Linked DNA regions of Caenorhabditis elegans. The protein of the gene in region 2 interacts with the protein of the main gene of each other region in a pairwise test. Each region holds a gene or a part of one and is shown on either strand. Other genes may lie near its edges.

What was found.
Region 1: the proteins of madf-5 (region 2) and zip-12 interact in a two-hybrid assay, tested with the Caenorhabditis elegans proteins (one large-scale study listed by BioGRID).
Region 3: the proteins of madf-5 (region 2) and T22C8.3 interact in a two-hybrid assay, tested with the Caenorhabditis elegans proteins (one large-scale study listed by BioGRID).
Region 4: the proteins of madf-5 (region 2) and pix-1 interact in a two-hybrid assay, tested with the Caenorhabditis elegans proteins (one large-scale study listed by BioGRID).

What each region holds. Positions count from the first base shown.
Region 1 is NC_003281.10:12,325,946-12,332,782, reverse strand, and holds zip-12 (BZIP domain-containing protein), read right to left. Parts: upstream 5,117-6,837; 5' UTR 4,837-5,116; coding exon of another isoform or gene 4,798-4,836; intron 3,320-4,797; 5' UTR 3,319-3,319; coding exon 2,971-3,318; intron 2,211-2,970; coding exon 1,911-2,210; intron 1,119-1,910; coding exon 966-1,118; intron 743-965; coding exon 521-742; 3' UTR 509-520; downstream 1-508.
Region 2 is NC_003280.10:14,571,771-14,577,093, reverse strand, and holds madf-5 (Alcohol dehydrogenase transcription factor myb/sant-like protein), read right to left. Parts: upstream 3,480-5,323; 5' UTR 3,449-3,479; coding exon 3,147-3,448; intron 2,878-3,146; exon of another isoform or gene 2,685-2,877; intron 2,607-2,684; coding exon 1,901-2,606; intron 1,287-1,900; coding exon 1,185-1,286; intron 1,131-1,184; coding exon 969-1,130; 3' UTR 533-968; downstream 1-532. Other genes in the region: C01G12.13 (uncharacterized protein), read right to left, coding at 1-2, 47-137.
Region 3 is NC_003280.10:8,619,856-8,623,867, reverse strand, and holds T22C8.3 (C2H2-type domain-containing protein), read left to right. Parts: upstream 1-1,884; 5' UTR 1,885-1,893; coding exon 1,894-2,038; intron 2,039-2,123; coding exon 2,124-2,468; intron 2,469-2,725; coding exon 2,726-2,937; intron 2,938-3,016; coding exon 3,017-3,208; intron 3,209-3,256; coding exon 3,257-3,322; 3' UTR 3,323-3,483; downstream 3,484-4,012. Other genes in the region: T22C8.4 (C2H2-type domain-containing protein), read left to right, coding at 376-649, 753-964, 1,024-1,212, 1,263-1,313.
Region 4 is NC_003284.9:13,725,688-13,733,333, reverse strand, and holds the start of pix-1 (SH3 domain-containing protein), read right to left. Parts: upstream 6,042-7,646; 5' UTR 6,033-6,041; coding exon 5,961-6,032; intron 5,851-5,960; coding exon 5,724-5,850; intron 5,680-5,723; coding exon 5,635-5,679; intron 5,583-5,634; coding exon 5,447-5,582; intron 5,054-5,446; coding exon 4,958-5,053; intron 4,914-4,957; coding exon 4,791-4,913; intron 4,737-4,790; coding exon 4,607-4,736; intron 4,364-4,606; coding exon 4,304-4,363; intron 4,216-4,303; coding exon 4,061-4,215; intron 4,014-4,060; coding exon 3,883-4,013; intron 3,817-3,882; coding exon 3,543-3,816; coding exon of another isoform or gene 3,539-3,542; intron 3,437-3,538; exon of another isoform or gene 3,348-3,436; intron 2,984-3,347; exon of another isoform or gene 2,894-2,983; intron 2,577-2,893; exon of another isoform or gene 2,467-2,576; intron 2,024-2,466; coding exon 1,911-2,023; intron 1,838-1,910; coding exon 1,561-1,837; intron 178-1,560; coding exon 102-177; intron 39-101; coding exon 1-38. Other genes in the region: K11E4.6 (G_PROTEIN_RECEP_F1_2 domain-containing protein), read right to left, coding at 7,331-7,498, 7,545-7,646.

The DNA.
Region 1 (6,837 bases), on a different chromosome or scaffold from region 2:
GCCAAACTTGCCAGAAAATTTCCATTCCGAAAAATTGCCGGTTCACCTAACTTGTCAGAAAATTTCCATTCCGAAAAATTGCCGGTTTGCCTAACTTGCCAGAAAATTCAATTATGGCAATGTTGCGATTATCGTTTTGAAATTCTGAAATTTCCAGAAAATAAACTTGCAAACCCACAACTTGCCGAAGTGTTTTTTTCCGGCAAATTGCCGATTTGCCGCACTTGCCGGAAATTTTCCTTTCCGTCAAATTGCCGAATTGCCGGAAATTTCAATTCCGGCAATTTGTCGATTTGCCGGAAATTTACAAATTCGGCAATTTGCTGGTTTGACAGAAAATTTCCATTCCGAAAAATTGCCGGTTTGCCTAACTTGTCAGAAAATATCCAGTCCGGCAAATTGCCGGTTCGCCGAACTTGCCGGAAATGTTCCATTCCGGCAAAAATATTTAGACTACAAGGAGAATAAATGAATAAGAACACATTTTCAAAAAGTACAACCATCGGATAAATTCCATAATTTATTTAACAACAGATTCTTTATCATCATTATCATTTTGTAACAAACACAAATTATCAGCAACAAAACGGCACAGCTCTTCCAAATCCAAAGTTTTATTGTTTTTAATTAGTTGATCTAACATGTCTTTAGGAATTGAGGTGACTAGGGGAGCAGCTTTTGGTACCGTTTGCTTAACATATTCGTCTGCCAACTCGGCAAGTTTTGTCTCACGATGATGCTCCTGTAATAAGTTATTTTTAAAAAAATATTCTGGAAAAATTTACAATTTTATTGGGAAATTCTAAAAAATGAACTAAAATTACATGATTCGTCTCGAAATAAAATTTTTTTCAACTAGAACTTTAGGCTAATTTAGGCCAATTTTTGAGCATTCTCCCCAATGTTTCAGTTAACGGGATTTTCTTCATTTTGACTGTTTCAGGTAAGAATTTATATAAACGAACATGTTCATGTGCAGATATTTGATACAAATGCTGTCTCCACTCCATTTGCTGCTTTGCTCGGATTTTTCGGGAACCTAAAGTCCCAATTACTCCGTTTTTTAGACGTAGGTCTTCAGCAGCTTTTTCAAATTCTTCTCGAGCACTGGCGAGCCTCTATAATTTGGTTAATAATTTTAAAATTGACTTTTCAAAAGAAAAAGTCGGAAATTCAGAAATTCCACAAAAAAAGTTTAAAAACGGGATTTACAAACTAAGGAGAACTCCCCGACCAATCACCATCTTTGAACTACGCCCACTCGATCTGATTGGTGGAAAAGTGGGCGGAGCAAATCGCTGATTGGTCGCAGTTCTCAGTTTTGCATTTTTGAAAAAACTCAAACTAAAGTAGGACTTTTTTATTTATTCGCTATTTTTTTGACAAATCGGCAAATCGGCAAATTGAAAAATTCCGGCAAATCGGCAAATTGAAAATTTTCGGCAAAACGGCAAATTGAAAAATTCCGGCAAACCGGCAAATTGAAAATTTCCGGCAAATCGGCAAATTGAAAACTTCCGGCAAATCGGCAAACTGATGGAATTGAAAATTTCCGGCAAATCGGCAAATTGCAGGAATTGAAAAATTTCCAGCAATTCGACAAATCAACAAATTGCCGGTATTGAAAGTTTCCGGCAAATCGGCATATTGCCGGAATTTATAATTTCTGGCAAATCGGAAAATTGCCGTTATTGAAAATTCCCGGCAAATCGGCAAATTGCCGGAATTGAAAAATTCCGGCAAATCGGTAAATTGAAAATTTCCGCAAATCGTCAAACTTCAGGAGTTGAAAATTTCCGGCAAATCGACAAATTGCCGGAATTGAAAATTTCTGGCAAATCGGCTAACCGGCAAAATAAATTTTCGGCAAATTGGTCACTTTTTTTTTGAAATTTAGAGAAAAAACCTACATGAAAATTCAAATTAACAGTTTCATCCTGTGCAAACATTTCAGCAAACTTCTTATTCAATTCCATTTTCTCATTTTCATATTCCAATTTCAGCCGTTCTACTCCAATTTCTGACATCATTTTTCTCAAATCCACTGCAAAATTCGCATTTTTCTCTTTTATCGCCGTTTTATTTTTGAGAAGTTGAATGCGTTTTTTGATTTGATTACTTCGAATTTCCGCATGCTTTCGTTGATCTTTTTTCTTTTGAACACACTTTCGGGCGTACTCACGGTTTTTGGCCATTTGACGGTGACGTTCCTGAATAATTTGGATTTAAAATTGATATTCTTGCCAAAGTTGAAATTTCCGGCAAATTGGCAAATTGCCGATATTGAAATTTCCAGCAAATCGGCATTTTTTGTCGAAAATCAAAATTCCGGCAAATCGGCAGTTTTTTGCCGAAAATCAAAATTCCGGCAGATCGGCAGTTTTATTGCGGAAAAGCAAAATTTCCGGCAAATCGGCATTTTTTTTTTGCTGAAAATCAAATTTTCCGGCAAATTTTTTTCGGGCAAAATTGGGAAATCGAAAAATTGCCGGAATTGAAAATTTCCGGCAAATCGGCAAATTGATGGAATTGAAAATTTCCGGCAAATCGGCAAAATCGATGGAATTGAAAATTTCCGGCAAATCGGTAAGTTTCAGGAATTGAAAACTTCCAGCAAATCGGCAAATCAGCAAACTGCCGGAATTTAAAGCTTCCGGCAAATCGGAAAATCGGTACATTTTCGGAATTGAAAACTTCCGGCAAACGGCAAATCGGCAGTTTTTTTTTGCCGGAAATCATAATTTTTTGCAAATCGGCAAACCATCAATTTGCCGATTTGCCAAATTCGTCGACAAAAAAATTTGCTGAGCCCCAATTGCTATCCTGATTTGAGTGAGGCTTTTCAGAAAAATTTGGAAATTATTTTCAGATATAACAAATCTTTTTCTACACTACAAAAAATAGGCGTTAGGCGGGCATGTACATCTAACCTAAATTTTGTACTAGAAGTTGTAAAAAATCCACACAAACCTGTTCTCTCTTGTCCATCTTACTCGGATCTTTATTCAATTTCTTAAATTCCTCTTCCCACTCCAAATCCCCATCTGTATCCATCTTTGAGTAGCCTTCATTGTAATTATTATCAGTGTACTCATCTTCTATATCATCCAACATCTTCGCCTCTACTTCTTGTTTTATCTCCACTGGACCCATGTTTTGCAGTTGGCTCATTAAAAAGTTGAATACAAAGTTCTGGGAGCCTGACGATTCATTGTTATCTGACGACTCGTGTTCCAGCTTTACCGAATTCTGGTTGTTTTGCGTGGAGTCAAAGTGTTTTAGAATCATGTCACGACTGCCACTTGTTTCGTTATTCATTCTGTAAAATTTGGAATTTTTTGGTCTTGTCTGAAACTTTCGGGCCAGGCCCAATTGTGCATTTTAAAAAATTTTTCGCATCGTCTTTCGCTTATTGGTTCCTCGTCTTTCGCTTATTGGTTCGCGACTGTTTTTGTAACGAACTTATGAGAAAGTTTGCTGATTCTTATCAAAACACTAATTTTGCCGATTTGCCAGAAATTTTGATTTTCGGCAAATTGCCGATTTGCCAGAAATTTTAAAAGGGATTTTTCAACATTAATGTAGGAAAAAAGTTTGCCGATTAAAATTGAAATTTTGAAATTTCCAAAAAAAAAGTGCAAAATCATAATTTGCCAAACATTTTCGGCAAAAGGCGTTTTTCCGGAAATTTCGGCAAATCGACAGTTTGCCGCTTTTCCGATTTGGCGGAAATTTTTAATTCCTGCAATTTGCGGATTTGCCCGATTTGCCGGAAATTTCAATTCCGGCAATTTACCGATCTTCCGGAAATTTTAATTCCGGCAATTTGCCGATTTTCCGGAAATTTTCAGTTCCGGCATTTTGCCGATTTGCCGGAAATTTTTAATTCCGGCAATTTACCGGTAATTTTTAGGTCCGGCAATTTGCCGATTTGTCCGATCATCCGGGAATTTTAATTCCGGCATTTTACCGATTTAAAGGAAATTTCAATTCCGGCAATTTTCCGATTTGCCGGAAATTTTAATTCCGGCAATTTGCCGATATGCCCGATTTGCCGGAAATAGTTAATTCCGGCAATTTGCCAATTTACCGGAATTTTTTAATTCCGGCAATTTACCGGTAATTTTTAGGTCCGGCAATTTGCCGATTTGTCCGATCATCCGGGAATTTTAATTCCGGCATTTTACCGATTTAAAGGAAATTTCAGTTTCGACATATTGCTGATTTTCCGGAAGTTTTCAATTCCGGCAATTTGCCGATATGCCCGATTTGCCGGAAATAGTTAATTCCGGCAATTTTCCGATTTGCCGGAAATTTTAATTCCGGCAATTTGCCGATATGCCCGATTTGCCGGAAATAGTTAATTCCGGCAATTTTCCGATTTGCCGGAAATTTTTAATTCCGGCAATTTGCCGATATGCCCGATTTGCCGGAAATAGTTAATTCCGGCAATTTGCCAATTTACCGGAAATTTTTAATTCCGGCAATTTGCCGATTTGCCGGTAATTTTTTATTCCGGCAAATTGCCGACTTGCCGATTTCGCCAAACGACAATTGCCACCCACCCTGTTTTGGACGCGAGATATACATACACGTCGCCAGCAACCGGCAATTGCCAAAGTTTCTGCAACCGGCAGCTTCTGGTTGCGGAAACTTCGGAACTTCGGCAATTTGGCCCCTAATGTAAGAGCCCTGATGCCCATCGTGAACTCACTGATGCATTCAGGAATCTACAGTAATCATCAAGGGCGGAGCTTGATCCTTCCATATTTTCCTAACCAAAATTTCAAAACATACCTATCCCCAGTTCCTTAGATTCAAAATCGTCGTTGTCAGTCAAAAAAAAGGCAAGAGACCAATGGTGGGGGAGACAGTGTGTGTGTGTGTGTGTGTGTGATAAGAGAACACAACTTCTTGCTAAGAAGAGTGAAGACAGTGAATGCATGATGTTTGCCTGCATCATGACATCGTTTGATTGTATTGAATAGAGGAGGAGGGCAGCATCAAAAAAATGAGAAATAGTCAGAGGAAAGATGTGAGAGCCTTAGAGAAAACAGAGTAGGAAATACTGTGCGACATACTTGGTATCTGAGCAGTGGTTGAGACAGTGGGGGGGGGGGGGGACAGTGAAGGTGATTAGCAAGATTGATAAGAGACTGTTGATGGGGGATGGGCACTGATTGCTGTAATTTCCAATACATCGCAATTGTACATTCGATGGATGTAAATGCAATTGACAGATTAATTAGGTATTATATTGTATAAAAATGGGTTGGAAAGGCATATCAAAAGCTGAAAAAAGGTATCTATAGAAACCCATTCCAAAACCAAATTTCAGAAGCATCACGTGGTGCTAGGCTGTCCCATTACGGTTTGATCTACAAAAAATGCGGGAATTTTTCGCCCAAAAATATGTGACGTCAGCACGTTCTTAACCATGCAAAATCAGTTGAGAACTCTGCGTCTCTTTCCCCGCAATTTTTGTAGATCAAACCGAAATGGGACGCAATGAAGCATTACAATGAAGCATTACAGCGAAAAATGAAAGATAAATCTTTCCAGGACATGTAGCAAAAGCGGTTCTGTGGCTCGAGAAAGGTTTGAAAAAATGAAGAACAATGTATTCTTGAGCAGAATCCATGTAATATTTTGGTAGTTGAAACCCTGATTTTAGAATTTATCCAAATGAATTCTCGGAATTTTCAGTTTTAATAATATAATTCATTAGATTCACAGTGAAGTGAAACCTGATTAAAAAAGGATTAAAGGACGAAATATAATTTTTGTCTGAAGCCTACAGGAAAAATGTTTCATTGTTGAAGTGGAAATTTTCATTTTCGACAATTTGCCGGTTTGCCGGAAATTTTTGTTTTAGACAAATTGCCGATTTGTCGGAAACGTTCAGTTCCGGCAATTTGCCGATTTGCCGGAAATTTTCAGTTACGACAATTTGCCGATTTTCCAGGAATTTTCAGTTCCGGCAATTTTCTGATTTGCCAAAAAAAAATTACGGCAATTTGCCGAGTTGCCATTTGCCGGATATCAGATTTGCCGGAAATTTTTAGAGGGGTTTTTTTAAAGACGGAAACACTTAAAACTGTGCCTTTTTGAAAAATTCGTTTCCTGTTATGTTTAGATATTTTCATAGAACTTGCTTTTTTATTTTGACAAAAATTTCCGGCTATTGCAGTTTTTCAATCCGGCAAATAGACGATTTGCCAATTTGCCGATATGCTGTAAATTTTCAAATCCGGCAATTGCCGTTTTTCTGGCCAATTCGGCAAAAAGACATTTTGCCGATTTGCCGATTTGCCGGAAATTTTTAATTCCAGCAACTTGCCGATTTGAAATGTGTTTTCCAAGTCTACATTTAATGATAAAGTATAGAAAAGTATTTGATTTGATTGAAAACAACTATAATTTGGATTGGAAAAACTGAAAAAGTGCTGAAAGTTTATCTGGAAGTTGAAACTGCTCGAAAAAAAATGTAAACCTTTAAAAAAATTTTCGAGGACTTTTCAGTTTTTTAAATTTAAAGGGTGAAGTAATCTTTAGTAGTAGGAAAACTAGTTTTCAAAATCTTTCGTTTTAATAGGAATTTCAATATTTTATAGATTGACCAACCTAAAAAAGCTTTTTTTCATCAAGTTTTATTATCATATTGCATCCAGTTTTCCAGTTTTTTTTCTAGAATTCACTAAATTTATCAAAAATAGCGGCCCATGCAAATTTCCGGAAAATCGGCAAGTTGTCGGAATTGAAAATGTCCGTCAAATCGGCAAACCGGCGAATTGCCGATTTGCCAGAAAAACGGCCAAATTGTGGTTTAGCAAATTT
Region 2 (5,323 bases):
CTCTGGAATCTCCCACGTTTAGTTAGAAACATTAATCCTAACCTGCCCTCTTTCGGTTTCCCTTTCAGACAATTTGAGGTTATAGTCATGAAAAACATGATCGCGCAGATGACGTTGTAGAATAATAATTGATACATTGTGCAACTTTAATTGACCGGTTGGAAAGTTGAAACAAATTGTTGGAAATAATTCATTTTGCATGGAAGATGTTATCGGTTGAAATTGTGGAAGTTCACGTGAAGGAAATTTTTGGAAAAAATGTGGGAAAAATTACAAAATATATTTGATATGATAAAACTTCTGAAAAATGTCTGAAATATTTGGGCAAGAACTTCTGAAAAAAAAAAAAATTTTCGGAAGTTTTTTAAAAACTCCTTTAAAAAACTAGAGTTATCTAGCTGTTTCCAGAAAGGTCTAGCAAATAAAAATTCCTTCTTCTCCAAAAATTAACAATTTCAGGAAAATCTCCAAAATACACAGAACAATTCAGAATCCGCGAGTCGGAGGGAGCACGCGCTCTGTCCAAAACCAAAAAATACACGTTTATTATAAAAAAATCGTGGTACAAAAATATACAGGCAAGATGATGGTGTTTGTAGAGACTAATTTCAAAAAATAAAAAAAATGCTGAAATTATGGAGGGAACAAAAGAAAAGTGAAAGAATTGCGCACTGACTAGACCGACGGGGAGTGAGAATACACTAAAAACTAGTTTTTGAACATTTTTCGTTTTCTACATTTAATAAAATGAGGAGAGCACCAATAAGAAAACACAAAATAGATATTTTGAAAAATAAAGGAAGTGTTTTTTCAATGTTACAGTAGCCTACCAGAATTTAGGTCTCGACACGAAAATAAATTATGCGCCTTTTAAACCGATCAGGCATATTTTTGCATTTTAGCTTGAAGGCGCAAATCATTTTTTCGTGGGGGGGGGGACCCATATACTACAAACAAAAGACTAATTTTCAAGCCGTTGGAATTTCATTTGCCGTTGGCTCAACTGCGCAATCTTCATCGTGCTCTCCGGTTGGACTATGTGCTGATGGACTGCTACAAGAGTCATCATTGTCTACAATATGGTGGGTGTCATCGGTTTCGTCCAGTAGTGACATTATTTGGTGACGGACCTGAAAAAAGTTGGAGTCTGAACTTGTTGAATATATCTGAAAACAATCTCTCACCTTTTTCCGTTTTTTCGGGTCCATTTTCTTAAGCTTCAACCCAATTATCCGGCTGTACAATAAATCCTCATCATTGAGCCATTCAAGAGCAACCCGACCGACCTGGAAAAAAGTTATATTATTCTAGAAATTCTTTCTTAAAATTTCTAATGTAGGAACACGTTATAAATTTTTGAAATTTGCTGAGAAAAAATCCTAATTTTGGTAAGAAAATCCAGAAACTTCGATTTAAAAATCTCTTAAAACTTGAAATAAATATTTAAATTCGAAAAATTTTTTTTAACTAGAAACACTTAAAATGTTTCCGAATATATTTTTTTAATAAAAATTAAATTTTAATAATCTAGAAAGTAATTAAATGTAATTCAGAAAACCAAAAAAAAATTCTGAAAATTATACACTTCAACCTTCAAAAAATCATTCCGAAAAGTTCATTAAAAAATTTTTTAACTTTAACATTTTTTCTTGAAAATCACTAAATTTTCCGAAAAAAGGTAACATTAAAAAAAACAGAACTAAATCCGAAGTTTCCAAGAATTCAGCAAACTATTTTCAATCGCATCTAATATTTTTTACAAAAAATCTAGAATTTTTTTTTAATTTAAGAAAGTTTCAGAGAAATTATTTTAAAAAAATCAAAAATCTCCAAAAAATCCAGGAAAATCACGATCCTTCCGAAAAAAATTTTTTTTACCAAATGTTCCAAACCCGCTCACCTGTTGCAAATGATATCTCATAACATTATCCGCAGTCTGCTGCCTATGCCTATTCCTCGCCGCCTCTTTATAAGGATGGAAGTGGCTCGTAGTGGACGCGGTTGGCGGTGGTGTTGAAGGTCGGAGCGGCGGGATCGCTGCCTCCTCGGATTTCCTGGCTCCATTGAGCATTGAACTCATCCCAGTGAGCTGTGCAGCAAGATGGTGTGCAAATCTAGCCTGATTCGCTGCTATGAGGGACTCCACTGATGGTTTCTGTGGGGTCTGTTGGACCTGCTGGACCTGTTGAGCCTGCTGAGTCTGCTGTTGGCTCTGAGCACTTATAGCCTCCTTGAGCATCGCCATAGCTTCGGATTGACTTTTCACCTTTTCTGGGCCATCTTCCTCTACTTCATCTTCATCTTTTATTTTAAGATCTTCCTCCTCATCTCCATCCCCATCAACTCCATCTAGATTTCCATCGAGACTTTGAGTTCCAGATTCATCATTTTCAATTTCAGGGGATATACTGTCCAATCGTTGGGCGGTTTGTGCAAGTAGTCGGTCTAAAACCGAAGATTCGAGTGCTGGATCACTATCATCATCTTCCATCTCGTCTTTTATTGAATTTAAATTTGGAAAACCGAACCAGCTGAACGGTGTGCCTGATGGCTCATCAAAAGAGTCAGATTTACCAGTTTTTTTGCCTTCATCTGCTGCTTGACCACTGCAAAAAATAGACTTTGAAGATGAGAATTTTAACTTATAATCGCGGAGTTCTAAATTATTATTTTTTACTTTTCAGATTCTTTTTGATATATCTTGAATTAATTTTTTGTAGAAAATTTTAATTTTTTTTCAAAATATTAAATTTCGAATCGATCAGTTTTTTGTCGATAAATTGTTTTTTTTTTAATTTTTATAATTTTTAATTTAAGAAAAAAAAGAATTCTGGAATTTTAATTAAATGTTTTAGTATTTTTGAAGTTTTTTTTTGAATTTGATTTTATCTACAACTTTTGATTTTTTAATGAGATTTTTCAAATTTTTTTTTCTGAATTTTTGAAGTGTTAATTTAGACTCTTTAGATATATTTCAAATTAGGTGAACTTATTTTTTAAATTTCAGTTTTTTGTTTTGATATGCCTACAAACCAAAAATTTCGCGGTTTTTCAACAAAAAAATATTAGAAAAAATATTAAAAAATTAGCTTTGTGATGGCCAGAAAAAAACGAGTTGAAAAATAATTATGAAATTCAATTCTTACATATTATCCTTCAAAAACGGGTCCAACCACGATAATTGATTAAAATAACACCATCTAACAGGTGTCACAAATCCATTTTTAATTGCAATCTTTAATTCTTTCCGATATCGATCCCTCAGCTGCAACCATCGTTTCTTCGCAAACTCTGCCGCACAATTCGGGTCAATATTTTTGGCGATTGATTCCCAAAGTCGTTGACGTTCCATTGTGTCCCCGCTGCCACGTCGTGAATGATTATATAGGCACGGGTACTTACGAACCTCGTTTATCAGACGGGCGTTAAACGCCGGCTGGAAGGCCATCTGTTTGAGTGGATTTAAATTTAGAAGGGGTCTGAAACGGAAAAATTTGAGATTTTTAGAAAAAAAAGGCTAAGGGGAGTCAGAAGCTGGGATAATCTAGAAATGGAAAAAAGGAAATAAGACATAAGAATATATATATATATATACATATATCCGTTTTTTGTTTCAAATGTTGAATTATTTTTGAAAATTATTCTTTTAACTATTTTAATTTGGAGAAATGTAGAAAAAATTGTGTAATTAAAGGGAAATTTTAAAATATTCATATTAAAAAATTGTTAATTTTTGTTTAAAACATTTTCAAAAGATTAATATTTGCAAAACCCAATTTTAAAAAATCTTAAAATTTCTAAAATCAACACAAAAAAATATTTTTTGAATTTTCAGTTAATGTTTTTTAAATCAAAATTTTTCTGAAATATTTCTGATAACAAAATATTGAAAACTGGTACTTTTAAAAAAGAGAATTTCAAAAAAATTTAAATCAAAACATTAATTTTGTCGAATGCCGAATTGTTTTTCAAAATCATTTTCAGATTTAAAAATTTTCTGGAAACTTTAAATTGTGAGATTTTTTAATAATCTAGATTATAACTTTCTGAAATTGCAGAAGGTTACGTTTTAGTACTTTAAAACAAAAATCTTTTTAAAAAAATATTTTAATTTTTTTGTCAGAAATTTAAGTAAATTTTGGCAATCTGCCAAAAAAATCTCTGTAGATCATGCAGAGGAATCTAGACACAAAAAGCCAAAAAGCCTGAGTGTGTACTACGACATGGTTAGTCTTCCAAAATGTAATAAAAAGTTTACACACTCTTTCGTGTCATTTCTCTCTTCTTCAATTCCATCTAAATCTCATGATAAACTACCGTAAGACACAATTGAAATGGTTTAGACTGAAAATCTAGGAGAACCGGTAGTATGTGTGGGTGGAGATGGAGTAGAAGAAGAAGGGGAAGAAGCTCTATGTTTTTTCCGGTGCAGGAAAATTGGAAAATTGGGGGATATTCGGTTTTTTATTTTGCTTTTAGTTGAAGCTTTAAGCGGAATTGGGAATGAAAATTAGAGGGAAATTGGTTGACGAAAGTTGCACAAAGTTGATGAAAATTGGTGATAGTATAGCGAAAGTTAAAATAGACTGAAATTGAACAAAAGTCTGCCAAAGATCTACCACAAGTTTGAGAAAAACGCAACTTCTTGAAAAACACTGGTGAAAATTGATGAAATTTTGGCGAAGGTTGGTCGGAGTTCGTAAAAACCTTGCGGGGATTGCTGAAAGTCTAGAAAAAATTAACAGAAGTTGGCAAACGTTGCTCAAAATGTCGAAGATCTGATAACAGTTGCAGAAAATTGTCGTAGATTCAGAAGAAGTTGTTTCTTGCCGAAAGTCTAGCGACAGTTCGCGAAAGTTGTTTTTAAAAAATATTGAAAGTATAGAAACAATTCAAAAAAGTTGGTCAAAAATTGAGCAGCAGTTTGGAACTATTGCAATTGCTTTTTGAAAGTTGACAAATGTCTAACGAAGGTTGGCGAAAGTTGGCAAAACTTTAGCAAAATCTGATAAAAAGGTATGGATTGTTGTAAAAATAGATAATTCGGGAAAAATGGAAAATGTCATTAAACACAATATCTCAGCAGGGGGTGGCTGGCTGACAATCTCCCCCGGTTAGGCTTCTCCTTCTTTTCTTCCCCCAACACAACCATCTTCATCTCCTTCAAACCGAATCATATCAGATAAGAAGCCGTTGATCCGCCCGAAAAAGGAAGGAAACGAACAAAATCCGGATTGCGGACATCCGAACTGAAGCTGGGGTAGGGGCAAAATAGTGTGGAGCAGCGATAGACGCAGAGGTGGTGGAGACCGGCGGAATGGGA
Region 3 (4,012 bases), 6.0 Mb from region 2:
ATAATTATCAAATCTATCATTTTTACAAATTGTTCAAAACAGTTCCATTTCTATTGTTGTCTCTATTTCTCTCCCGTCTGCCAATACTATTTCACTGTCGTTGCAAGTGTTTTGTTAGTTAAAAAGGTCAGGTCATTTCCTCAATCTGTTCGCACCGTGCAGAGTATCGCACCGCAATAAACATATATCCAGAAGAAAGGAAAGATGACAGTCTTCTCTTTCTTGTTTCCCTCTACTTTTTGCTCACTTGTTGTGGTCATAGTCATCTGCTCAACATCACTCTTAACACATTGCACAACAGCTTTTTTTAAATTTTCTTTAAAATATGTCTTTATTTTGAGACATTTGCATCAAACTCCCGTTTTTCTTTCAGATATGAATACTAGCAATTCAACATCAACTTCATTTGGTAGTGATCAAATGGATATTGAAAATCACTCACCAAAGCTATCCGGTGTTGCTCCCAAAAGACGAAGAATTGATAAATCTTCAACTTCATCGGAAGCAAAGATACAAAGAATGGAAGACGCGATGAAGAAAAAATTGGAAAAGGAACAGAAAGAAAAAGCTCGATTGAAGAAACGAGAAGAGACTTTGAAGAAGAAATCTGAAACAGCTGCAGCAAAGAAGAACAAAATTGTTGGAGCTCGTAAGTTAACCAAAATAAATATGCTCAACATTCTGTAAATCACTTTATCATCCCACAATCAAAACCTTAACTGTTACCAAAATTGAACTCGAAAGGTTTTCAGCAAGCGAAGACCCGAAAATTCGAGCTCTCCAATGTGATATCTGCTTTGCATTATTTAAAAATGCTGATAAGAAAAAACGCCATGACCATTCTCATAAAGATGAGCCAGAGGTATACTGTCCAATGTGCAATGCTCCAATCAAGTATAAATACAACTTGAAGCAACATATGAACAAATGTCAACCGAGCCAGAAAGAAATGGAACAAGGCAGTGTGAGTTGAAACTTTTAAGCAAAATGTGTTATATTTTGAATTTCGAAAACTTTTTTCAGATGCTCGCCAAAGCTTACCCGGACTACTTACGTCAACTTCAAGAAGCTGCAGTTAATCCGTCTCTTCCAATGCCAACTTTGAATGGAATGCCATACAGAATGGATCGATATTCATTTGTCACTGGATTCGATATGAGTCTTGATGTTCATTTGGATGTGATGCTCCCGAAATATCCCACAGACGTTTTTGTATGTAATTTGCAGTTATACGTAACATTATGATAATAGTATTTTTTTAGTCAGAAGATGAGGACGCCTTAGACGATGTCAATTTGTTTGATGAGAAGTGATTAGATATTTGTATTCGTTATGGAATTTCATAATTGTCAATTCTTTGTTCATTTTGCCACAGCTGGTATTTCAATCTACATTTTTTCTCGTTAATAAACATCATACGGAATTATTTTTGAAAATTAATTCGAAGCATCAAACTTAAAAGTATAGCTTGGATCGGGCAAATAATTTTGGAACTTTAGCAAACTATATTCTCGTGTTACTAAACATTTTTTCCAGTGAGACTACCGCGTTCTTCTCTCTCACATACAAGACCCCCCACCCGTCCATTTCAAATTCGCTCTATTGAACTACATGTTTCAAACACCGCAAATTTGAGCTCACACAGCTGAGCTCTCATGCTTTTATCAGTTTTTTCTTCTCTCATCCAACTAAATTATCTGTTTAATTTCTCGATTTCTATTCGTTGGTTGTCATAGTGACGATCGATAATTATAATAAAGCACAAGGACTGATTATATACTCAAAAATTATGAAAAAATGCTTACATTTATACTTTGTCTTATGTACATTTTAAATTGATGATTCTTCATGAAAAGCTATGTACCAACAAACTTTGAAAATTTTGTTTCAGTCATGGCAACCACCGAACAACTGGCTAATACCACGCAAAAAGAGCCTGTTATTGATTTAGATCAAGATAGCAACATGGAAATTGCTCATAAAATACAAAACCAAACAAAAAGACTCCCAATTTCCGAACCGGCAAATAAAAATAAAAGTGAGATTTTAAAAATGTATGATTATTGCAATGCATGATTATTAATTTGTGACCTTCAATGTTTTCTTCATTTTTAAAGCTTTAGATGTCACAAGCAAGCAGAATAAAGAAACAAATAGAAAAACATTTGAAAAATCAAAAAGAATGGCAACGTCAACGATTCAAGATCGTGTTTTGAGGACTCAAAAAACTCGAAAAGACAAAGAAAGCACTACTGAAAAAGTCAATGCAATACTTAAAAAATCGGCGAAACAAATTAAAGTCCGAGAAGAGGAAGAAGGAGATGATGATTTGGAAGACGAGTTGACATTGTACCCATCTAAAAGAAAAATGATGGTAGGGTCAAAAAATCGAAAAAGGACTATAAAGCCAAATCGGGATACTATCGCAGAAGAGCAAGAAACTGACGGAGAACACGGAGTAAAGCAAAGTGAGTTATAAATAATAATATTTTTTAAAAATCTATATACATAGTCATCAAAAACTTATTCGGTTCATTTTCACACCTATTCAAAAAACAGAAATTAGCTTGCATATCAGATTTCGAGAAGAGTTTAAGTTTTGAATAGATTATAAAACAAAATATAAACGACATGTTTTTGAAATTTGGGGTAAATTGGCGCACTTCATATGTGATGAAGAATATCTCACTTTAGTTTGAAATTAGTTTAAACATCTATATTCCAGGAGCATTTGATCCAAAGCAAAGACATCGTCAATGTCCAGAATGTCTACTTCTTTTCTCAACTCCGGACAAACTGAAGCGTCATATGAAATCGCATGGAGACGTTCCAGATGTATACTGCTCACTTTGTAACACTCCTATTAAGTTTAAGTATAATTTGAGAGTGCACCTAGAGAAGTGTTATGATAAAATGAAACTCAGTCTACATGATAGTGTGAGTTTTCATATTAAATTTTAATAGTGGTAACGTCTTTACATTTTTTATTAATTTCTCATTATTTTGAAAATTTCAGATGCTCTCAAAGGTGTATCCTGATTTCGTGCGAAAACTTCAAGAAGCTGCAAAAAATCCCGTTCTCCCAATGCCAACTTTAGAAGGAATGCCATACGAATTCACTTTAAAAGGAGTTGTTGGATTCGATACGTCTTTGGATATCACTAAGGATTTAATGTTAGCAAAATATGAGCAAAAGAAACAAAGAGAGGTTAGTAACTATTAATTATTTGATTTTATTTAAAAAGTATTTTTCCAGTTAGCAGGAATTGATTCGGACGATTCGGACGAATTGGACTATTTTGATGATTTCCCAGATGAATGAGATTTTCCACGATAACGATTGCACGAATTGAAATTAATTTATTGAAAACTATACAACTTCCGCGATCTCTCACAAAATTTGCGGCTATTATATTTGTTCACTGTAATTTGTATTAATGTACATTTCATTCCATGATGAATAAATTGTTCAAAATAAGTTTAGAATATTCTAATTTCAAAACAAATATCAAGTGCAAATGGAAATTCATCTGATTGGTTTTAGCAATTGTATGTGGTGCGGTGTGAGATTTTGTTGTCGTGTGTGCATTGTTGCGTCTAAAATACCAATTTCCTGCTGGATACATCACAAAATAACCATGGCAAAGCCTATTTAATTATACTGACATTTTCTTAGTTTGAAAATATTCTGAGCAGAAAATACCAACAAAAAAACTACGAGTGCTGAAAATATTTGAAACAACGCAATTTCATATGAAACAGTTTTTTGTGAATCCTCGTGCAAATTTTACGATATTTATAAAATTATATTCATATCGAGTACTCGAGTACATATCAAGTAGATAAGTAGGCACACAGACAAAACTAAATATCTATTTGTATTTCTTATCTTTTTCTGTTCCTTCTCTCAATCGGATATTTTTCTTACTATGAAACCGTTTATCCACCTACGCAACAATTTTTGTAGCTTTGTTTTCTGAGGATTTCCTTCAAATTAACTGTGATCTAATTG
Region 4 (7,646 bases), on a different chromosome or scaffold from region 2:
TCCAGACGACGGCGTGCTTTTTGTTCGGATTCAACAACCTGGAAAAATGAAATTATTGGTGCTAGATGTGACAGACCAGAAGAGAAGAATTTTTCACTCACTTTTGCTAGTTTTTGAAATTCGGTCTGAAGGAACGAAAGTTGATCTTTGATGGCGTACACAGCATCCACAATACTTCTGAAAAAAAAAGAAGAGGTGACAAATGAGCAATGAAACGGAAATCTAGATAGACGAAGAGAGAGCAAGTCGGAGGAATAGATATTGTCGTTGGAGCAAGAGCGAATTGACCATTGGGAAATACTGGTCACTTATTCAAGTTCAAACTAAATACATCCGATGTGCTCAAGGAGTACGACGAATGAAAATGACAGATTTATAGACGATGTCTAACTAAGTTCGATGTACATAAAGTTTTAAAGATAAATTTGAAATGTTTTCTAAATGCACGAATCTTTTTATGTTCGTTGAAGAATAGCTTATAAATTTATTTAAATTACACACTTGTGAAGGGAAATTTGAAATAAAGATTGTTATGGTTTTCACTTAAAGGTCGAAAAAGGTCGAAAACATGACAAAACAAGCTATCCTACTGAAAGTTATCTAAAAAACAACTCACGTCCTGTTTTTCATCAGACAACAATTTCCGATGAACGGCTATAATACTATAATACCAAATAATATCAGTAAACAAGGAAACTACAAAAAATTGTCTCTACAAAAATTATCCCCTCTTCATCTTGTTATCTTTGGGGATACTTGTTTTTCCTTGTCAGCTTATTACTTTTCTTTAAAAGCAGTACGAAAAATAATAACTGAAAATGGACGATATGCAAAACAGACAAAAGAAGAAAAAGAAGAAGCAAACATGACTAGATGAAAACAATCATTATTTACTGGTGATCAAAAATTATATTTTTACAGAAAGTAAATGTTTGATCTCTTTTTGGCTTCGAAATGAAGGGCCTTGTTAGGAATATCACTATTGGCACGTTGTGCAAGGCTGTCCGATTACGGTTTGATCTACAAAATATGGGGGATTTTTGTTGCTAAAAATGTGACGTCAGCACGTTCTTAACCATGCGAAATCAGTTGAGAACTCATTCAGTTTTAAATACACAGTGGAAAACGTTTTGGCCGGTTTTGAATTGAGAACTAAAAAATTGTTCAAAGCTGAGCCACGTGCCCAAATTACTCTACTTGGGAATCAACACTGGACATATTTGAAAAAAAAAAACAGAAATTTTAAAAGAACCTTAGAAAAATCAACTTCTTTACTAAAAAAACATCAATTTGGGGGGGGGGGGGGATTCCAATTTTGCAAAGTTTCTAGATATTTCAGGTTTGCTGAAGTTAGTTTTTCTTATCAATCAATTATCGATTTTCCTATTCGTCCGTTATTTTCCCACCCAATTTTTTCATATACGCCACCCTAATATCTATGATTCAGCAAGAGAAGAGGAAACGAAAAGGTTAAATTTTTTTACAAATTGTGTACAATCTTGACCCTAGAAAAACTGAACTGGACTCTTCTAAGGTCTCATCGTTCAAAAAAAAACTTACTTCTCTTGCAAAACAACTTCATCTCCAATCATCTCCTCCATCAGAATCTTCTCATCTTCTGCAACAATCAAATGTGGTTGTTGATAACTTTCATTTGCATGGAAGTCCGACTGTCCGCCACCAGTTTCCACACAGTATCCTTCCAAAATTCGAAGTGTCTCAAACTCAATCTCCTCATCACGAGCCGCGTCTTTTCGAAGTCGAATGTTACGATCACCTCGTTTGCCGGCGTTCCCGCTTAGGAAAAACGATGGGAACTGGGAGAATTGCAGGTTATCTGAAAAAGATTTTTGTTAGTTGATAATCATAATCACGACAGAGAAAACAATAAATAACAAAATATCTCCTACCTGCAGTATTCCTTGAATTGCGACTGCTTGTTGGCAGCTCAAATCCTTCAGGGAGCACCATTCCGAGTTCATGATCGAACTTCATATTTCCCAAGTTTAAACTGTCATCAAAGCTGAAAATTTCAAAATTTAGGTCTCGTTCCATGTTTTATTTGTTTTTTATCATTATTTTTTATATTGTCCACACAAAAAACTTTTCACCCTAATTTCTCCTATCTCAATAGCCATTGTATCTGTTACGAACTATTCTTCGTGATCTATTGAGTCCGAAATTTCACATGCGACAGTTAGAAAGTCTTCGTGTTTTGATCCGTGAAGAACACACAATTTCTTGTGTTGCCTAAATTGGTGAGCGTTAATGTTGCCAAGTCTTGTTATCCAAAATCGAGGGATCGAAAAACATAGAGATTTTTGGTGAGAAGAGATTTGTCCATCTAATACATAAATACCAATTAATCTAAGTAGTAATTTACATCAAATTTTTCGCTTCATACTCTATCCCATCCCATCAAAATCGTATTTGCAATATCTTTTTGCATACATTTGTCTAGAGGACAAATGCAAAAAAAGGTAAGCCCAATGCGGGGCTCGAACCCGCGACAACCAGATTAAGAGTCTGGTGCTCTACCGACTGAGCTAACCGGGCGGCGATAGGAACCGAGGCGCGTGTAATTTAAAAAGTGAAAATGTCAGGCGCACTTTGTGGCTGTCAGGAAGTGTCTCGCACTTTTTAGTGTAATAGTGTGTTGAAATTTGTTAGGTCGTCGGTCGTTGCCAACACTGTTAAAATAAACAAACCGGCAAAATTGATTTCTCGCGACATTGAAAATTAATTGAATAGCGATACTTTCAAAAAGTGTATAGGATTTAATAAGAAAATTCCTTTAATGTTGAAAAAATATTCCACCTAGAAACTTCGCACCCCAATTTAGAAAAGTGAGTAAATTTTATAGTAAAGTTTTTTTAATGATCATTTGAGATAGACAAAAGCGTAAGCCCAATGCGGGGCTCGAACCCGCGACAACCAGATTAAGAGTCTGGTGCTCTACCGACTGAGCTAACCGGGCGGCAAAAGTAGATGTGGTGCGACCTTTCAAATAGAAATATGTCACGTTTTTCAAGGACAGTAATGTGATTGACGCCACTTGTTCGTCTCGGTATGTGGTATGTACACTTTCACTGAGAAAAAACTGCGTAGCGTGTTTGAACAGATTTCAAAAATTATGTTTTTTTAAATCTGTGCATAAACGCCACGCTGTTTTTTTTCAATACAGTGTTTAATATTCAAAAAAAATTTTTTTTAATTTTTTTCCGTTTTGGTACTACTTTTGAAGTTTTGAGAATAATACAAACTGGTATCACGAATTTAATCTCAAAATTTGGCAAATCATGGAATTTCTTTAAATACTTGTAATAGGAAAACCAATCGCAACGAACAAAAAACTAAGCCCAATGCGGGGCTCGAACCCGCGAGAACCAGATTAAGAGTCTGGTGCTCTACCGACTGAGCTAACCGGGCGGCGAAAAGAAATATAACTTAATCGAAAATAATTGAGGGTTAAACGTTGCGAAGACATTTTTGATAATTGTCTGTTCATTCCAATTTTACACGGTTAACATGAAAACACTCACTTCTTCGAGCTTTTTCTTTTGTTCATCATACTATACTGTTGATCCGAGTTTCCTGGGGGATGAAGTGGGGGTTTTGCGACCAGAGGAGTCTCTGCTCCTTGAGTCTGTGATTGATTCATTGTATCGTTAGCATTTTTGGAAGGTCTCCTCAAGATAGTTGTCGTCGGAGTGATGATTGCCACGTTTTCAGCTTTCGCCAAAGCAACAAGGAATCTCTCCACCTCACCCCCGGTTGAAACCATCGTTAGAGTGAATTCTCCAGTGTTGGGGCGATCTAGAAAAACTTGGGTTACTAATTTGTTTTTTTTTTTAATTTTAATTTTTTATCCGAATATTTTACCAAATGAAATTTCAGTAGCTTCCTTTTTCCGAACAATAAAACCGGACACTGTAAACTTCTCCTTAATGTCGTATGTCATATCCTTGGTGACTTCGAAAAACATAATGTATTTAGTGAACAATGCCACGAATCTGAAATCACTTCTAAATTTGAACAGGTAAAATTTTCGGCAACTCACCGATCCACTGCATCCGCTTTCTTGTATTCCACATTTGCAACACCCACATAGAGAATAGATCCTCGTTCTGACGCTGAAACCACCTTGTCCACTTTTGACACAAACAAGAAGTCGAGTTGGGCTTCTTTCTGCTTACGAAGGGTTTCACACAAATCCTAAAAATAGTTTGATTTTAAAACTTGTTGATCCTAATTCTTGTGAGTCAGTTAGATTTGTGTTTCTAATATTTTTAAAACAACGCACCTTTGTTTCCCGAAAAACTGCCGATCCACGTTGTAAATCTCCACGGTCCGGATGATTCGCCTGAAAATTTTTTTGATGATGATCTCATTGACTCAAAATGATATAAAAATTATTATGCATTAACAACGTTTGTTCACATGAGTAGACTTGATAATTTAACATAAAAAAATTATCATAATAAAATTTTCACAAAAATGATGTATTTTAATTAAACAACTGTGCTTTCTCTATGAAAAAAAATTCCAGAGTTTAATGAATCGATTGACCTATGTTTTTTTTTCTCATTTAGATTCAAATACTCACCGGAACAATTCGCTCAAGCTCCTGGAGCAAGTTGTAGTACCTCTCGACGTGCCGGAGTGGCTCACTGAGTCCTAACACCAATTCCTTGTACTCCCGATCCTGCGACTTTACCACCTTTTCCAACTCCTTCCTGAAAACGCGAAACAATACATTCGATACATTCTCTAGCTCTGTCAAAACTTACTGTTTCTTCTTGAGAACTTCGACAGCGTCTGGATGATTGTCAGCATAACTCATTAGTGCCGTTCTGAGCTCAAGAGCAGCATTCATGAACATTCCACCGACTCTCATTTTTGGAAGCTCCTCACTGAAATAAGAAAGTTGAAGAAGGTTGGAGAAATTAAAACTCACTTTTGCTCACGCTCCAGTTGTTCAAAAAGATCACGTTTCAGAGTGTAAATTACTTCGAAATTCCCAACCAACGTACAGTATTCTGGAGCCGTCAAGCTGAAAATTGTCAAAAATGTATTATTGTCGTACCCAAAAATGAAAATCCACCGGAAATGCAATGGAACTTGATGTTTTTCTCAATGTAAATCTCAAAGTAAATTGTAAATAAATATGAATAATTTAGGTAATAATTTAGGTATACTTTTTTAAAGCTTTAGCTAGACTCAATTTTTTTTTGAAAAATGGGACCTGTGACTGTATTTTGAAACAGTGAGCTACTCGCCCCACTTTTTAAGATACTTTTTTTCATAGCGCAGAGGTGCCCATCATTCCAAATTTCAAGTTATCAATTTTTAGAATCTGGATTGATCAACAAAAAAAGCAATAAGAAAAATCCGCAATGAATTAAATTCACATTTTGAAAGTTAAAAAAAACATTTTAAAACTCACATTTTAGATGCCCCAATTGGAATCAATAGAGATTGCAACGTTTTGAGCAAGCTTTGCATGTACTCCTTTTCCGATTCAATATAACTTTTGAGCACAAGGTCTCGATAATCTGGTTGAGCTCCGACGGATACCACTTCTGAATTTTTAAATTTGAATTGTCTCAACGAGTAAATCTTCATGAGATATACCTTTTGCAGTTGCATTTGGGACGGATCGAGATCGCTGGAGTTTGTCTGCAATTTGTGGGTATTAGCTCGAATTTTCCGATTCAAGTTACCTTTTTCTGTGATGAGAGTTACATAGGCACACGGAAACCATCCGGTCACTCCTTCATGTGTTCCTTCCCACCATCCGCCTTCTTGCTGCTGTGTTATTGTGATGATGTCATCCTTGTCGAAACTTAGCTGAAAATTCGTGGAATGATACTTTTGTCAAAAAGTAATTTAAGTATGTACTATTTTTTAAATTAAAAAAAAATTTCACAAGTTTGAATGTGTGGGAAACAAAACCTCACCTCATCGTTATTTGAACCTTCGAATTGAAATTTCGCTCGAGCCGATAACGGAGAACCCGAACCAGGTTCCATTTTCTGAAAAAATACTGTATTCGGTGAACATATTCGATAAATTTTTAACAAAAAAAATTGAGAAAAATTCAAAATCAATAAATTCTCAAATAACACATTTTTAGTAATTAATAACCCTGTGGAGTTTAAAAATACTGTCGATGGAATCGATAGAACGGGTGAACACTGAGTAAGAAATGCAAACGCGCTCCATCGCACTCTCTGGGTCTCTTTTGCGGGGTGTATCTCTCGTCTTTTCAACCCGTATAGTGGCGGCCCCTCAACGGACTTACGGTGATAAATAACATGTGTTGACCCTTTCTCTTCACATCTCACGAACAAAGTGCTCTTTTTGATGCTCTTTTGAACATTGTTTTGTGTAGAGATGAATTTTTATTTTATAAGAAAGAGATTTATGATGTAAATTTGGAAAGTAACTAAATTCAAGGAAGGAAAACTTCGAAATGCCGGTAAAACTCATTATAATAGCATATTTATCAAATTTGATATCAAATACATTTCAATTTTTTAGAAACAAAACTATAATTTTTTGCATTTTTTCTTATTTTTCGACTGCTCGTTTCCCTTTTTAGAAGTTTTAAAGAATATCCCCAAAAAATTTGAAGTAGGTATAAACATTATTTTTGCGGTGGAACCCATCTCAATGAATCCATGCCACTCCAATTGTAACATTCAAAAAAATTTCAATACTAAGCTATCTTTAAAATTCCACAAAAAACCTAATCAATTTAAGATTTTTCAAATGATGTTAGAGTAAGACAAGAGGATGGCAGACATAGTCGTCTGTGATTGAAAAAGTGAAAACAGAAAACGTGTTCCGATCATATCAGATCGAAACCTTATCATGTTATATCTTTTAACCGAACCCACAAAACTGAACAATTTGTTTGAAAATGATTATAGGACAAGATGTAACAACGGAAGTATTCTGGCTTAGCTATTTTCTGAAAATTGCTACAAAACCACGTATTTGTTGCTTTTATTCAACCACATATTCAAATACATACATACCTATTTAAATTATTTTAAAGAACAGCTTTAGTTTTTCTTTTTTTTCAACAAAAAAAAAAACAAATCCATATACGCGCTCTATGATATAAAAATTGAGAAAATGCCCTATTTAATAGCCCTAAAAACAACAATCCAACAAATAATAGAACACTTTTTATATAAAATATGCAGAATAAGAAATTAAAAAAATATATATTCATTAATTAAATTTATACAATTAAAAAAAAACGATGACCCGAATTTACATTATTCACACAATTTCTAGTCACAAAATATTTATGATAAATTCATTTTCTCTCGGAAATAACGCTCCATTGCCGCTGATATAGATTGAAATAAGTTTGCGATACTCCTTTCCCATTTTGGTTCAGCTCTCGGAGTTGTCTTCTCTGGAACTCGTTCCTGGTGGTCACCAAAATTGTCATAGAAAGTAGCAATGACACGTAAGGAAATATCTGAAATCTCAATTTTGAAATGCTTTACCAGATAGTAATAACTTACAAATGTGTTAATCGCGATAAATTTATAATTTGTGAGACTAAGAGAGTCTCGGAATGCTCTTACTACCATGGCAATTAAAATATAGGCAGAAACAAAGACAGT